Cricetulus griseus: one gene and its partners. The protein of the gene in region 2 purifies or fractionates together with the protein of the main gene of each other region. This does not show direct contact. Links are inferred from orthologs where the notes say so. Each region holds a gene or a part of one and is shown on either strand. Other genes may lie near its edges.

What was found.
Region 1: the proteins of Gpn3 (region 2) and DNA-directed RNA polymerase II subunit RPB11-a purify together in Homo sapiens (affinity purification with mass spectrometry; 4 studies listed by BioGRID and IntAct, with this or other methods). This does not show direct contact. The link is inferred for Cricetulus griseus from reciprocal best matches to the Homo sapiens genes GPN3 and POLR2J.
Region 3: the proteins of Gpn3 (region 2) and Polr3b purify together in Homo sapiens (affinity purification with mass spectrometry; 3 studies listed by BioGRID and IntAct, counting the BioPlex papers as one, with this or other methods). This does not show direct contact. The link is inferred for Cricetulus griseus from reciprocal best matches to the Homo sapiens genes GPN3 and POLR3B.
Region 4: the proteins of Gpn3 (region 2) and Polr2m purify together in Homo sapiens (affinity purification with mass spectrometry; 3 studies listed by BioGRID and IntAct, counting the BioPlex papers as one, with this or other methods). This does not show direct contact. The link is inferred for Cricetulus griseus from reciprocal best matches to the Homo sapiens genes GPN3 and POLR2M.

What each region holds. Positions count from the first base shown.
Region 1 is NC_048597.1:115,110,996-115,115,298, reverse strand, and holds the start of DNA-directed RNA polymerase II subunit RPB11-a, read right to left. Parts: upstream 2,844-4,303; 5' UTR 2,740-2,843; coding exon 2,687-2,739; intron 1,089-2,686; coding exon 999-1,088; intron 1-998. UniProt on the Homo sapiens protein: Core component of RNA polymerase II (Pol II), a DNA-dependent RNA polymerase which synthesizes mRNA precursors and many functional non-coding RNAs using the four ribonucleoside triphosphates as substrates.
Region 2 is NC_048597.1:102,212,047-102,216,169, reverse strand, and holds the start of Gpn3 (GPN-loop GTPase 3), read right to left. Parts: upstream 2,825-4,123; 5' UTR 2,719-2,824; coding exon 2,671-2,718; intron 827-2,670; coding exon 620-826; intron 1-619. Other genes in the region: protein FAM216A, read left to right, coding at 3,479-3,543. UniProt on the Homo sapiens protein: Small GTPase required for proper localization of RNA polymerase II (RNAPII). May act at an RNAP assembly step prior to nuclear import.
Region 3 is NW_023276806.1:150,759,633-150,763,197, forward strand, and holds part of Polr3b (DNA-directed RNA polymerase III subunit RPC2), read right to left. Parts: intron 3,085-3,565; coding exon 2,931-3,084; intron 287-2,930; coding exon 212-286; intron 1-211. UniProt on the Homo sapiens protein: Catalytic core component of RNA polymerase III (Pol III), a DNA-dependent RNA polymerase which synthesizes small non-coding RNAs using the four ribonucleoside triphosphates as substrates.
Region 4 is NC_048597.1:182,985,579-182,988,426, forward strand, and holds the end of Polr2m (protein GRINL1A), read right to left. Parts: intron 1,603-2,848; coding exon 1,459-1,602; 3' UTR 507-1,458; downstream 1-506.

The DNA of each region.
Region 1 (4,303 bases), about 13 Mb from region 2:
GTTTTTCCAGACAGGGTTTCCTTAACAGTCCTGGCTATCCTGGAACTCAATGTAGGCCAAGCTGGCTTTGAACTTACAGAGATCTGCCTGCTGTGGTTAAAGGCACAAACCACCAGACCCAGCACATTACATGCAGGGAAGGCTGGAGAACTGGATTAGTTAAAAGGTTTCCAGCACCCATGTGGCATCTAACCACCTGTACCTCCAGCTCCAAGGGATCTAGTTCTTTCTGACCTTCATGGGTAACAGACACACGGTAGACATACATAGGCAAAAGGTGTTTTAAATTTAAAGAAAGTATTGCTCTTGGAGAGGAGCCAGAGTCAATTCCCAGCACTCATGTCAGGTGGGGACCGTCTGTCACCCCCCCAGCTCTGAAAGCACTGGCAATCACCCAGTAACAAAAGTTTGGTAATCTGCCGATGCCTGCAGCTTTCTATCAAATGTAGGGGTAAGTGAGGTGACACTGCTGGCCCCCTTTGCTTTATCTTTTTGAGATACTGTATGTAACTGGCTGTCCTAGAGCTTACTATGTAGACCAGGCTGGCTCTGAACTCACAAGTACTCCATCTGCCTCTGCCTCCCGAGTGCTGGAATTACAGGTGTGTACCACCATACCCATCACCTCTTAGCATCTTGATGCCCACTAAAATGAAAACCTGCTTTGCTGGAGTCCCCTGAACTTGATCTTGGCCAAAAGACCAAGAGGCAACTGCAAACTTATACACTACATGAATGAGCCAACAGGAAGCTGATGTGTTACGTGTTACGTGGCCAGGATCCCGGCAACCATGGTAAGGTGAGTCAGTTTGAGTCCAGTCTACACTACATGAACCCCTACATCAAAAAGCCAACAAAAGCAAGCCGCATGTGAACAGACCTGTCAGTGACAGGTTAAAGTGCCAGCAAGCTGCGGAGAGACGGAAGGAACCGTCCCAGGGCATGTGCTCAGCCTACAGAGCTCTGGTGACACTCGAGGCCTCTGGCCTGGGACTTACGATTTGATGATGTTCCCCAGAGTGTGGTCTTCTTTGTTGATGGTGAACAGGCAAGCATTGGGCACCTTTGTGTCCTTGTTAATGGTGATTCTACAATGAGACAGGCAAAGGCTGAGGGTGATAGCTTTCCCTGGCCCCACATCCAGCTCTTGTGATGCTGACACTGATTCTCAAATCGGTGTCCCCTTTGTGATCAAACATTCTAGAAACTGCAGTTGGGCTGTTCCCACTACCCCAGAAACAAAAACATCCAGCTCTTTCCCTCATACAAATTGGTTGTCTTAAACTAGCTCTTGACTAAATTCTTTCCTAGAAGACAGAAAACAGCTTGTCTCCAAACCCCCTAACAATTCAAGGGAGGCCATCATTCTGCAAGTCCCACTATCCCCAGTCTGCTCGCCCCAAAGGGCTCTCTGAGAGCTCTGGCATGGTTCAATGGGTCACCATTTATCTCAAATTTTTAAGGCTCTGGGTTTCATCCTACCACTCACTCCCCCTCCAAACAAAACAAGCAAGGTAGGCCTGCTGGGACTAGTCACTGGGACTAGTAATCCCAGTGACGGGGGCAGGAGGGCAGAGAAAAACACTGTCATCCTTGCCTTCCTTGACAGACCATGCTGGCTGACTCCTATCTACACTTCCACGTCCCTGGAGGAGCAATGAAGTAGGCACATTGCACAGCTTTGACACGGCTTCTGGAGATCCACACCAATCCTCAGCAAATGCTTTGAGCTGTGACCCACTGAGCCATCTCCCCAGCCTAGCAAATGTTGGGCAGGGGGAGCTGGAGTGAGCCAGGCAGTGGTGGAGCACACCTTTGATCCAGCGCTTGGGAGGCAGAGGCAGGAGGATCTCTGTGACTTCGAAGCCAGCCTGCACTACAGAGCGAGTTCCAGGACAGCCAGAGCAACACAGAGGAAACCCTGTTTTGAAAAACCAAAAGAAAACTACAAAAAAAAAAAAAAAGCTCGAGTGTAGCTTATTGATAGAGCAGTAACCTAGCATGGGCCAGACCCTGGGTCCAGTCCCCAGCATGACCAAAACAAAAAAACAAGGAACCTTCTCTACTCCGTGATGGCACCTTATCTATACACACCAAGGACCCTTTCCCACACAGGATTGCTCCTTTTTTCTTTTTCAGAACGGGATTTCTCTTGGTCCTGGAACTACCTCTATAGACCAGGCTGGCCTTGAACTCAGAGATCCGTCTGCCTGTGCCTCCTGAGTGCGTCATTAAACCGTCGAGTCCTGAAATTCTTTCTAGTGTTGAAGCCACGAACCTGAGTTTGGCCGAGATCCCTGAAAATCTAGAGGAAATCCTCAGGCTGCTGAGGAGTGTGAGAGGGTAGCTGTGTCTCGGTCCCTTCACCGCTACCATCATTATCCTCCTGCCTCAGTCGCCAAGTCCTGGAATCACAGGCGATCGCACCCTATGCAGGGGGGTGAGCTCTAAAGCCATCGCTGCGCAGCATGGATAATGGGGCTGCAGACCAGTGAAAAGGGAGCCTGACACTCTGAGTTCGAATACAGTCCCCGACACTTCCTAAGTGTCTGGAGCAAGGGCTCGACGTGCCCCGGCCTCAGTTTCCCCGCTGTAACACAGGCGTACATCGCACCACCGCCTGAAGTTCGGCAGACGCGCACGAAGCACAGTGCTCACCGCGCCAGAGCTAACGGCCTCCACTTACTTCTTCTCGCCCTCGAAGAGCAAGAACGACTCGAAGGCCGGAGGAGCGTTCATCCTAGAGGTGCGCTCCGGCTCCCAGACTCAAGCCGCAGCCGCCGTTACCACACTGAGCTCCGGACCGCGACCACTTCCGGGTCACGAGGACACAGCCAATCAAAGCCCCTGGCCCCGCGCCCCCTGGTGGACCGGATGACCTTCGGCAGGCACGAGCAGGCGAGGCGGAGCAGGTTAGAAATCCTGTCCAAACCCCAGGGGCAGCACCTCCCAGCACAGGAGGCAGAGCCAAGCGGATCTCTGTGGTTTCGAGGACAGCCTAGTCTACAGAGTGAGTGCCAGGATAGGCTTCAAAACAACACAGAGAAACCCTGTCTTGAAAACAAAACAAACAAAAAGAAAAAAAAAAAAGTGGCTTTCACCAGGCGGCTCTTTGGCGCATATTCCAGCGAGGGAAGGCTGGGCCACCTGCAACTGGCTCACTGAGCTGGAATCCAAGCTGTGTATGTGTATGAGCTGCTGCTGCAGGACCCCGGCTGGCTGGATGAGGAGCAGGAAGGTGTGTAAAAGTGACAGGGTGCCAGCGGATCCTCTGTTGGACACACAGGTAACCAAAAAACAATGACAGCCTGGCACCTCTCTGCTTTTCAGCCGTCTTTGTGGCTATTGTGGCTATTTTTCCTATTTTTAAAGATTTCTATCTGCCTGTCTGTGCAGAACGTACATACAGGAGCCTTTGGAGACCAGCCTTGGAGGTGCTGGGAACCCAACTCTAGTCCTGAAAGAGTAGTCAGTCTTTAACTGCTGAGCTATTTCTCCAGCCTCCATGATGGTTCATTTTGTCAACCTGATGAGATTTAGTATCATTGTGGAAACAGACAAGTGGGCCAGCAGGACAGTCCAGTGGGTAAAGATAGTGTCACCAAGCCTGACTACATGAGTTCAATCCCCAGGACCCATGTGGGAGAAGTTGAGAACCAATTCCTCTGACCTCCCTGTGTACACACAATGTATATACAAACAAAACAAAACAAAAACTTCTGAGTGTGTTGGTGAGATTCTAGACAGGTTTAACTGAGGAAGGAAGGACTCACCATTAAGGACTCACCATTAAGGACTCACCACGTGCATGATGCCATCCTAGAGGCTAAGCCCTCAGACTGAATAAAAGAGGAAAGGAAACCATCTTGTTCTGCTTCCTGGATGCAGGTGGCAATGTGATCAGCTGCCTGGCACTCCTGTTGCTATGACATCCCAACCCTTCCTGAGGATGCTTCTGTCGGGTTTGTAGACACAGCAACAGGAACAATAACTCAGTCTCCTAGTCTTTGGAGTAACAGGTATGAGCCAGCCTAGCCATTGGTACATGAGCACTAAAACTTCACTGTATAACATGGAAGATGGCAGTGCCACCAGGGGACAAGTGAAGACAATGCCAGGTGCCAGAGGGCTTTGGAACCCTTCAAACACCAATCACATCATGCTCCCCCTTGCTCTGCATATTGACTTGTTATCCCTGGAGTGTCTACCTAAGGACCATTGATACCTAGCCCAGCTCATCCTCCTTCAAGGCAGAAGGCACAAAGATAATGCAGGCATCTTCCTCGGCTTTTATGTCTCCTTT
Region 2 (4,123 bases):
TGGCTCCTGTTAATTTGGGCAGGCCTCTCATCTCATACAGTTTCCCTCCTGGGTTCTTAAGGTCCTAGGTCCTTCTAATACATCTTTTCACTTAAGGCAGCTTTAGTGCTCTCACCCACATGATCTGGAAGCCACAGCCTGCCTTTCTCTGAGAGCAATGAAGGTGGTTTCCACCCCTCCTCAGCCTGCTCCCTGACTCCACCTAGCAGTCCACACTCTCCTCATGACCACACTCCCGGCTCTAGTGTGTAACCCCAGCCATCAAAAGGCAAATGCAAAAGTTTCGAAGTACAAGGTCATCCTTGGCTATACAAGGAGCTTGAGGGCAGCCTCAGCTACATGAAATTCTATTTCAAATCTCAAGCAAAAAATAAAAATGTTCCATGGCAGTGTCCACACTGTAGCACCTGCCACTTCACTCCAGTCCACTCCCACCTGCCTTCAGCCCCACTGCTCCCCCGCTAACACTGGCCTCAGCTGGCAATGACACCATGTCCCCACATCTAACAGCCACTTTCTATCACTGTCTGACAAACTGCTCAGCTGGACCTAAGGTGAGCAGCAGCTCTTTCATGAAAACTTCCCCCTTGTCCGTTCTGAAGCTGTGCCTTCCTCTCACCTCACTGATGTCACCTCCTCTAGCAGCTTCCCAAGAACACACACCCTCAGGGCTGAGCAGCCCACTTTCAGTGCCAGGGGACGCTGTGCAGGACTCACCAGCCATCACAGGGTAGTTGAAGTGCTCTGCTGCTGGATCCAGGTTGACCACCTGGACAGAGCGGTTGAGGGCTTCGCAGTGCTGAACCATGGTGGAACAGTAGGTGCTCTGTAACATGACAAGGTGGGGTGGTTAGCACACGGGGCAAGTGTGGTGCCGCCCTTCACACCCCCAGGGGACTTTGCCACTCTTTGGGGCAGTGTCCACTCAGGCCAAAGCTGCACCTTTGGGAAAAGTGCTGGGAAGGCAGTCAAAACAGAGCTATAGATCAAGATGTGGCTTGGGCTCAGAGAACTTTAACACAGTCCAAAACTTAGATTATGCAAATGATTTCCACTATGCTTCCCTTTGACACACTGCTCTCTCTGACTGGGACCACCCCTTCATACATCAAAATGTACTATGATTGACATGCCAGCTATGCATCTTCCCAAATAGATTACAGGCTCTGCAGAGTCACATGCATAACTCTGGTACTCAGAACCTGTGTTTATTAAATACTCAAGTGACACAACACCTCCGAAGACTTGATATGTAATCATTATCTTTGTCTTTTCTACTGTGTTTAGTGTCCCTAATATTATTCCCCGAATATATATTTACAAGGAAACATAGTCTAGCACATGGGAGGCAAAGGAAGGTAGATCTCTGAGTTGGAGGCCAGCTTGGTCTACACATGAGTTCCAGGACAGTCTGAGCTACACAGAGAAACCCTGTTTCAAAACAAAACAAGGAAACTCATATCACAATTTAAAATAAAACAACAAGCCAGGCAGTGGTGGCCCAAGCTTTTAATCTCAGCAATCGGGAGGCAGAGGCAGGTGGATCTCTATGAGTTCAAGACCAGCCTAGTCTACAAGAGCTACTTCCAGGACAGCGTCCAAAGACACAGAGAAACCCTGTCTCAAAAAACCAAAACAAACAAAAAATAAATAAAAAACCAAATATTATATTTCTCATAATACGAAGGTAATTACAAAATTCTAAGTAACTTTTTCCAGACGTGGGAGTGCCTACCTATAATCCCAGCACAAAGAAAGTCAAGGCAGGACTTCCATGAGTTTAAGGCTAGGGTGGACCACACAGTTAAGACTCTTGTCTCCAAAAGTAATTAGTTAACTTAATTTTTTTATTTATTATTGTTGCAGAAGACCTGGGTTTTCCACAAGCAACACCCTCTTCTGGTCTCTTTGGGCAGTGTACACAAGCCAGATAAGTATCAGAAGTCCATATCCCAACCACCCTCTCTACACCACTCCCCTCCCTCGAGTGCTGGGATGGAACCCAAGGCTCAAACTTCTGAGGAACAGTGAAGAACAAGACCCTATTCTGGGTGTGTGACAGAGGGCCTGTACCGAAATGAGTCAAAAACGGACTCAAATTCTGGCCAGAACCGTATGACTTTGAAAAGTTATCCTTTCTGTAGAATGAGTATAGGTTTAAGCTAGGGAGTGGTTATGAAAACACTTGGGACGGCCAGAGCAGTTCCTGGAGCAAAAGTATCCTATTAATATTATTATTTTCAGGCCGGGCGGTTGTGGCGAACGCCTTTAATACCAGCAGAGGCAGAGGCAGGTGGATCTCTGTGAGTTCGAGGCCAGACTGGTCTACAGAATGAGTTCCAGGACACGTTCCAAAGATACACAGAGAAACCCTGTCTCGAAAAAGCTAAGAAAACAAAGTGTGTTGTGTGGGTTCCTGCACGTGAATGCACTGTTCGTGGAGGCCTGGGGCTGGAGTTACAGCTCTGTGTGTGTGCTGGGACCCGAACTCCAGTTCCCTGGAAGAGCACAAGATCTTAAGCGCTCAGCCACCTCTCCTGTCCCCCCAGTAATTAGTAAAGCTGCCTTTACTCCTCCAACAAAAACAAGGAACAAGCAGAGAGCGGAAGCGAATTACCCAGGGCTCCCGGGAGCCCCGACGCCCACGAACCGCAGCTCCTCGAGCCTCACCTTCCCGCTGCCCGCGGGGCCCATAACTAGCTGCGCATACCGAGGCATACCGGCTCTCCGCCTTCCCCCGGCCGCCGGCGCTCACACTCCCTTCAGCCTTCGCGCGAGCTCCCCTGAGCTCCGGGGACAAGGGTACCAGCCAATCGCGACCCAGATCACTGTTTCGTCCCTGGTATTTACGCCTACGACTACGGAGCGTCCCAAGAGCCAAAATTTCTGAGAAATGTGACCTGACGGAAAAGAGGAGGTGGAGACGCGGCTTCACGCGTGCGCAGAGAGAGCTGCGGGCCGTTGTCAGTTGGCCCACAGGCGAGGCTGGTTGCCTAGGTGACAACGAATCGCAGTAACGCTCAGCTCCTTCAGGCCGGTGCCCTGGTTCTTGGGTTTGACTCCTAGGGTGACATCCTAAGACTTGCAGATCCACCGAGGGTCTGGAATACTGAGGTGGGAGACACCTTTTGCTTTAAGGGAGAGCACGCGCACGCGTGTGCATGTGTATGTGAGTGTGAGTGTGTGTGCGTGCGTGAGTGTATGTGTGTGCGTGTGTGTGTGTGAGTGTGTGTATGTGTGTGTGTGTGTATGTGTGGCCTTGCCCTGACACGTCCCTGTCACGGAGATTTGCCAAGGCGTAAAAGCCTGGTCACCTGAGGCCTCCTCCTCCTCCTCCTCGTCCTCCTCCCCCCCGGGTCTAGCACCAGGGTCTCGGGTCGCCTTCGGCACCGTCCCGAAGCCGCTCGGGCAGGGTCGGAGGGTAGAGCCGGAGGCCGCGGCGGCCTCACAGCGGGCGTGGCGCGCGCGTGCCGACGGGATGCCGAGCCGTTGTCCCGGGGTCGCAGAGCTGCCTGCATTGGTCAGGACCGAAGGCTGCGACGGGTGAGGCCCGGGAAGCCCCGCTGAGGAGTCGAGAGAGAGAGAGAGGGAGAGAGAGAGAGAGAGAGAGAGAGAGAGAGAGAGAGAGAGAGAGAGAGAGAGAGAGAGAGAGAGAGAGAGACAGAGACAGAGACAGAGAGAGAGAGAGAGAGAGAGAGAGACAGAGAGAGAGACAGAGAGAGAGAGAGAGAGAGAGAGAGAGAGAGAGAGAGAGAGAGAGAGACAGAGAGGAGGGGGCGGGTGAGGCCGCGAGGTCAAGGGCTGACGAGGCGGCCTCGGAGCAGGACAGCAGCACTGTCACCTGCTCTCGCTCTCAGCGCCCCCGGAGAGGGTCCTGCGAACCCAGTAGGGAGCCGAGGACCCAGCCCCCACTCCCACCCCCAACCCCTAGTCCCACAACCCCCGCCACTAAGCCAGTCCCTGCGACATTGGCCGCCTCTTTATCGGATGGGGCTATGGGCCAGGAAGGCCTTGATCATGACTTGCTTGACGGGTAGGTTTCTTGAGACACACTCCCATAGCTCAGGCTGGCCTTGAACTACCCGTCCTCCTGTTCCACTTCGGAGTGCTGAGATAGATGTCT
Region 3 (3,565 bases), on a different chromosome or scaffold from region 2:
TCATGAACTATTTGTCAAGCACTTCATCATATGCAGGCTACTGCATATAAAATGGTTTTAACTGGTTGCTGGTACATTTGGCGGGGAGGGCTTAATAGACTAGAGATGAAAATATACCATCCTTACAGTATATATTGAAGAATGTTACTGCTGATGAAAGCATCTAGCCCATATTTAAAGAGATTGATAATGTCTACTTTTGGTCACTTACCTGTAGCCTTGAGCCAACTCTTCCATGTGCTTAACTGTCACTGCTGGCTTTTGCTTCTTGACAATTATGTAAGGCCTAGAAAGGGAGAAAGATAGCTTACTAGAAGGATGGTGTAAGTCAGCTCTACTGACCACTGTGGAATGAGAGAGGGTAGATGAAGCTTGTTCTGGAACTGCTGTATGAACATGTAGAGTCTTTCTCTCTCCACCTCCTTATATTTATGTGAGTGTGTATTCACTACTCAGTTTCCCTCCGATTATCCTAAGAATCATTTGGATTTAAATGAAAAGGCAACATAAAAATCACAATGAAGTCTAGACAGGGCACAAAATCTTCATGCCACATTTTAAACTGTGTAAACCACTACAGAAGTGCCTCATTTCCTGCTGGGAATACTTGCTGTATAGCAATCTCCCTTTACCATGCTTCAGGATTTTCACGATTTTGGTGATTTTAGTGAGTTGGAGTCAACTGTGGTCTAGAAACTTTTAAATCATGTATAGCCTTCTGGGCAGTGTGGTGAAATCCTGTACAACCCTGTACCACTCTAGCTGGGAAGGGAACCAACCTTTTCTCTAGTGACCGCATGCTACACAGCTATGTAGTAGCATAGCAGTCTCAGCTATATGACTGAAAGGATAGTATTGATGGTTTTAGGCATCCACTGGGGAGTCCTGGGGCATGTCCCCCACATGGGAGAACTGATGTATGGTGTCAGCGGGTAGAGACTTGTCACTGAGGACAATAATGGCATTTATTTTGAGAGTTCAGAGGAGGCCCAGATGTTTGATGTGGTTTGATGCATGACAAACATCACTGAAATAGACTAACAAGTGACTTAAAGCTCTGCTTGGCTGGATGTTTATGCAGAAGAGAACACAGCTTCTTTACTGGTGACTTATAATGACTGCTGGGGGTGAGATGGAGAGAGCACTCTGTCAGATTAACCTGTAACTTTCAGTGTGACTTGCCTCTGAGGGTTCTGCCACTACAAGGAAATACCCACAAAAAGAAGGGCATGCGGCATGGAAACGTCAAGTGCTGCTGCTATTTGGACAAGCAGCTCTTACAGAGGGGGAACAAGAAGCCAGCAGACACTTGTGTGTTTGTTGGAAGCCCAAATGACTTCTTGACGACTAATGAGCACTGTGAAATGGGCAAGAGGAGGAGCTGATCACTCTGATCACTCAAAAAAGGAGGAAGGAGCTGGGCAAGCTCTTCAAGGAAGTCAGCAGTACCTCAAATCCTGGCGTTTTGGTGAGGATGCAGAGAACCACTCCCACCCACTGTAGGAGCTCCGCCCACTCTTGCCCACTCAGTACCTCTGCCCACTCCTGCCCCACTCCAGTAGCTCAGGTCAAGGCTCACAGGACTGAGCAGAAACCAGAAAAGAAGGGAGAAGCCCCTTTCCTCAATAAATTCTCCTATTCCAGCCAGAGCTGTGCTGGAATTATAAAATTACTTCTGAAAAACAGTTAACTTCCTTTTAGAACATGTTTTATATGGATACAGTGAAATAACAAAATTACAAACAGGAATAGCTTAGAACATGCCATTGCTTCTCCTGCCCCTCAGAAGGCCATGTTGTCTAATACCAACTTTCTTCCTCTTTTTAAAGCAAGATCTCACCACAGACATCAGGCTGGACCTCACAGAGATCCACCACCAGTCTCTGCTTCCTATATACTAGGATTAAGGCCACTGAGCCACCACACTTGGCCTAGGCCATTTGGGAACAACTCTGGATACTCTGTAAGTACTTCCCACAGCTTACTAGCTAGTTCTTAGCACAGGCATAGGTAGGCATCACCACTTACATTTCACAGACAAGGAAACCAAGCCTCAGAAAGTTAGAAATACTAGAATCACAGTCACTAAGTGGCCAATTAGGACTCCAGTGTGGGTATATTGTTTTCAACAACACCATAAGACAAACCAACTTTGAACAGGGTAAGCAAAAATTACTTTACTACAAGCATTATGAAGTTCCAGAAGGAATAGGAATGGAGGAAAGGGGAGAGACACTGAGAAATATCAGGAACTGGGACAGTTATGACAATCCAGGCGTGCCGAGTAAGTTTGGGTGGGGTGGGGCAGATACTAGTTGGATTTCTGTCTGCTTGAAAGACTACCTGTGTGTGATAGTATCTACACACTTTCTGGAAGAACAAAAGGAGCCTACTTTTCTAGTTACCTTCTTCATCTGTGTCTTCACACTTTCATTTCCTTAGCATTTCTCCTTTTACTATCTGATCAAGCAAAATAATTCTACCAACACTTTAAGGCTGGGTAGACTACAGAGGTAAAAAATCATGATGATTGTTGGACTCATGTGACTTCTAAGGACTACCAAGAAAAAACCCAATTCTACTCTAGTCTAGCTCTGGGTATGTGGCTCACCTTCACAGACCCCCAAGTTTCTCATATAGTAAGAGTCTTACACAGATAGCATACCCAATAAGACAACAAACAATAACTAGCATCCAATCCTAGCACAACTGGTTGCTATTAGTAACTATTTGTGTTTCTCCTGGCAGATGAAACTCTCTGAGGACAAAAACTATCCTCCATTAGTTTTCAAATTATCTCCAAAGTGTCTAATAACTGAATTAGATGCATCTCCATGACAAGAAAGGTTAAAGCAGCTTCAAAACTAAAAGTAAGGCCATTTCTTTTAAAAGTTCACATAAAAAGACTTAAATTCTTTGTAGCAACATACCTGCACAACCGTCCTCCATCAGAGGAAATATAAACACATCGGTCTGTAAGATTCGTGGAGATAGAAACAAATTCATTGATATATCCCGCTCTTCGCATCAGCCGAAATGTACTGACAAGCTTTTTATGGTCTCGAATGACACCTAAGATGTTGCCTAAACAGGGAAGACACAGGAGGTAAGTAGAAAGAAAAAGTAATCTGATCTAAATTATCCATTCAATAATAATATTAAGAAGCAGTGAACAGTCATTTGAAAATAGTTATTATTAACATCAGAATTCGTCCTGTATAGGCTCTGGGAAGCAGCACAAGGGTGTGCTCAAAGACAGTCTGGAGGCCTTGAAGCCTGTGCCCATCACACTGGACACTGACTAAAGAATTCTCAAGAGTTCACTTCACTGTCTTCAGCTGTCAGCACAGTCATGGGGCAAAAAGTTCACCCAGAACAGGCAGGTGTGAAGCCTGGCCTTTTAAACCCGCAGGTGTTGTGTAGAGGAAAAGTGCTGAGAACTGCCTTGTTCCTAGCTCTGAACCTACAGAACCTGCTGTGAAACCAAGATGCCAAGTTTCACCTCCCAGGATTAGTATGAGGATTCAGAGGCACAGGATGCTGTGCAGACTGACAGCCAGCTCAC
Region 4 (2,848 bases), about 81 Mb from region 2:
TGGTCTACAGAGCGAGTTCCAGGATAGGCTCCAAAGCTACACAGAGAAACCCTGCTTCAAAAGAAAAGAAAGAAGGAAGGAAAGAAAGAAAGAAAGAAAGAAAGAAAGAAAGAAAGAAAGAAAGAAAGAAAGAAAGAGAAGTCAAAGTATGAACACTCAAGTATTAATAGACAGAGTGGTCAACTCACAGGGGTTCAATTGCAACTTCATGCATGTGCATGAGCTCTCCTTTACCAACCTTTGTGAAACACTAATTCATCTACAGACTGTGAACACCAAACATCATCTATTAGTAGTTTTAAAACCACAGGTTCCATCTAGTTCTTACAGCAGTCCTTTCTTAGTGGGAGGGCATGGAAAGTGCTTATTTCAGTTAGAAGCACCCATTATGGAACCTTTACATTATGTGTATCTGACCTAAATGTTTTCAGTCCAACTTCATGTAGAACACTGCTTTTAAAGAAGTAAAATTCAAACAAGCACCACAAAATATAACTGTCAGCATGTGAAGTTGCTTTGATTGTTATTTTATTTCTCCTTTACAGGTTCCACATAATAGACAAAGAAAGGGTTTTTGATAACATATTGTTACCTTCGCTGGAGATGATGATATGATCATTTAAACAACACAAATGTGTACATATATGAGACTGAGGTTTCTGCAGCCTATAAACACCTCTTTGGGTTTAAAAAGGAAAAAAGCAACATACTGACAATTCAACCATAACTCTTAGAAAAACACCAGTTTCCTTAGCAAACATGAGCGCCCTGTACGCTGACCTATCATCCAAGACAGCAATGAGCTGGGGAAGCCAAGAGCAGCTCCCCACCCCAGCTCAGAAGACCCTCCCCACCCAGCACCTCCTCAAGGTGCTCCTATCTTCATCACAGGAAGATAGCAGTCACCCCAAGAGAAGACAGGAACAGCAAATAAACATTTGTTGTATAAGTCGAGTGTCTTCCACAGTATTTCACATCCAACATCTCAGGAACTCCATGCAAGCATGCGTACCATTCTCTAGACTGCTCCTTGCATTTCTCAAGAAAAGGAACCAGGTCTTCCTAATTGATTTTAGGTGCCTGGGATAACAAAGTACTTTACCGGAAGGGATGTAAGCAATGCTATTTGATAAGAATAAGAATAAGGAAAAAGCAGCTATCTTAAAGAAAAAATGTGCTCTACTCACACTAAAATATCAGAACAATGCACAACATACTGCAAAACTGTAATACAATACGGTCAAACACAATGTTCAAATATTAAAACTGTTCAAGCACATGAAGATCATCTTCTGAAAGACAAACTGGGCTCTTATTTTGTAGCTACCGTAGTGTAACTTTAAAAACTGCTGTCCCTCAACAAGGTCTGACACTGATCTTGATACTTGATAGGAAGGTTGCTATGAGGCAATGACGGCTGAACAGTCAGCTTTGGAGATAGAACTCCCATGATCATCTTCAGAATTCATCCGAGGACTGGGCATCATCTTCGTCCCTCACTTCTCGGTATCTCCCTGAAGACTCCCCTTCTGGATTGTAGCTCTGCATTTTAATATTCAGTCTCTCTGCTAGTTTCTGTGCTGCGAGCTTTGCTTGCATCTCCTTTAAAACAAAGAACAAAGCCCAAGTTAACACATGCACAGCTCCCCGGGTCCAGGATAAAGAGTGTAATTTCCACTGTCTCTGGCAACACAGGATGTTGACAGCTATGCCCTGCCAGACACAAGGTGATGTATCTGAGAGCTGTCAGCCTGCTGCTGTTGCTAGTGACTTTCATTAGCAAGCAATGCTGCAATCAAAACAGCTAACCTCTACACGAGAAACTGAGAACTCAGCTTGGCACTCTGGCAGCTGTGAACAGATACACTAACTGTGCCATGCACACCGAACCAGCTGCCAGTAGAAGAAATCATCAAAGTGGTGCTGATGTCTCCAACGGACACACTTTCTTCTCTACATTAAAATCATATTTTCTAGGTTTGAAGAGTACACCTCAATGGCACAAAAGAGCCAAGACATTAAGGCTGCTGACTGCTCCTTCCATGCAGACTGTTCCTCCATAAGTAAAGTCTTATGGAAATTAACACTCAAAAAGGTCCCAGTAAATTTCAGACTGGCAGGGGACTTTTCCACATATAAGGATTACCACCAACTGCTGGCAGGCTTCGGGGCTTATCTCTCATTCGCCTCACTACCACCCCCCACCACACACTCCTGAACTTCAACAGCTCCCTACCTCAGCCCAGGAATATTATGGGTAGGCATAATTGGTATCTAGTTTACTATTTTGTCACAGGCAACCCATTTCAGAAGGGTTTAACCTAAAAATGTCTCAAGATAGGTATTTTTAAAAAGCCTAGAGACAATTCAGAGGTCTCTCTCCTCCAGCACACCCATTGGATCTGATGCTAATTCTAATGCACTGAGAGGAAGAAATATCAAGGGCCATAAAGACATCGGCCATGCCAGCTGAATGCTCAGGAAAAGCCAACCAGAGGCAAAGTCAGTTTGACTTTAAAAGGTGCCGGCACCTGACTAAAATCCAATTCAAGAGAGGGGGTGCTATTTTCCCAGAAGGTATGTTACAATCTAACTATAACTAATGTCCACACTTCTCCCATCCTGCTAATCCGAACACAAACTTTACCAATATTATACATTCTATTTATAGACAGGGTCTCACCATCTATTTGCTGTGTAGACCAGGCTAGCCTGAAAACTCAGAGATCTGCCTGCCTTTTACCTCCCAACTGCTGGAATTAAAGTGATATGACTAAAGTATGCACCACCACACCTTAATATCCATTTAAAAAAATTCTGTGAAACACAGTATTATATATAATCAAGC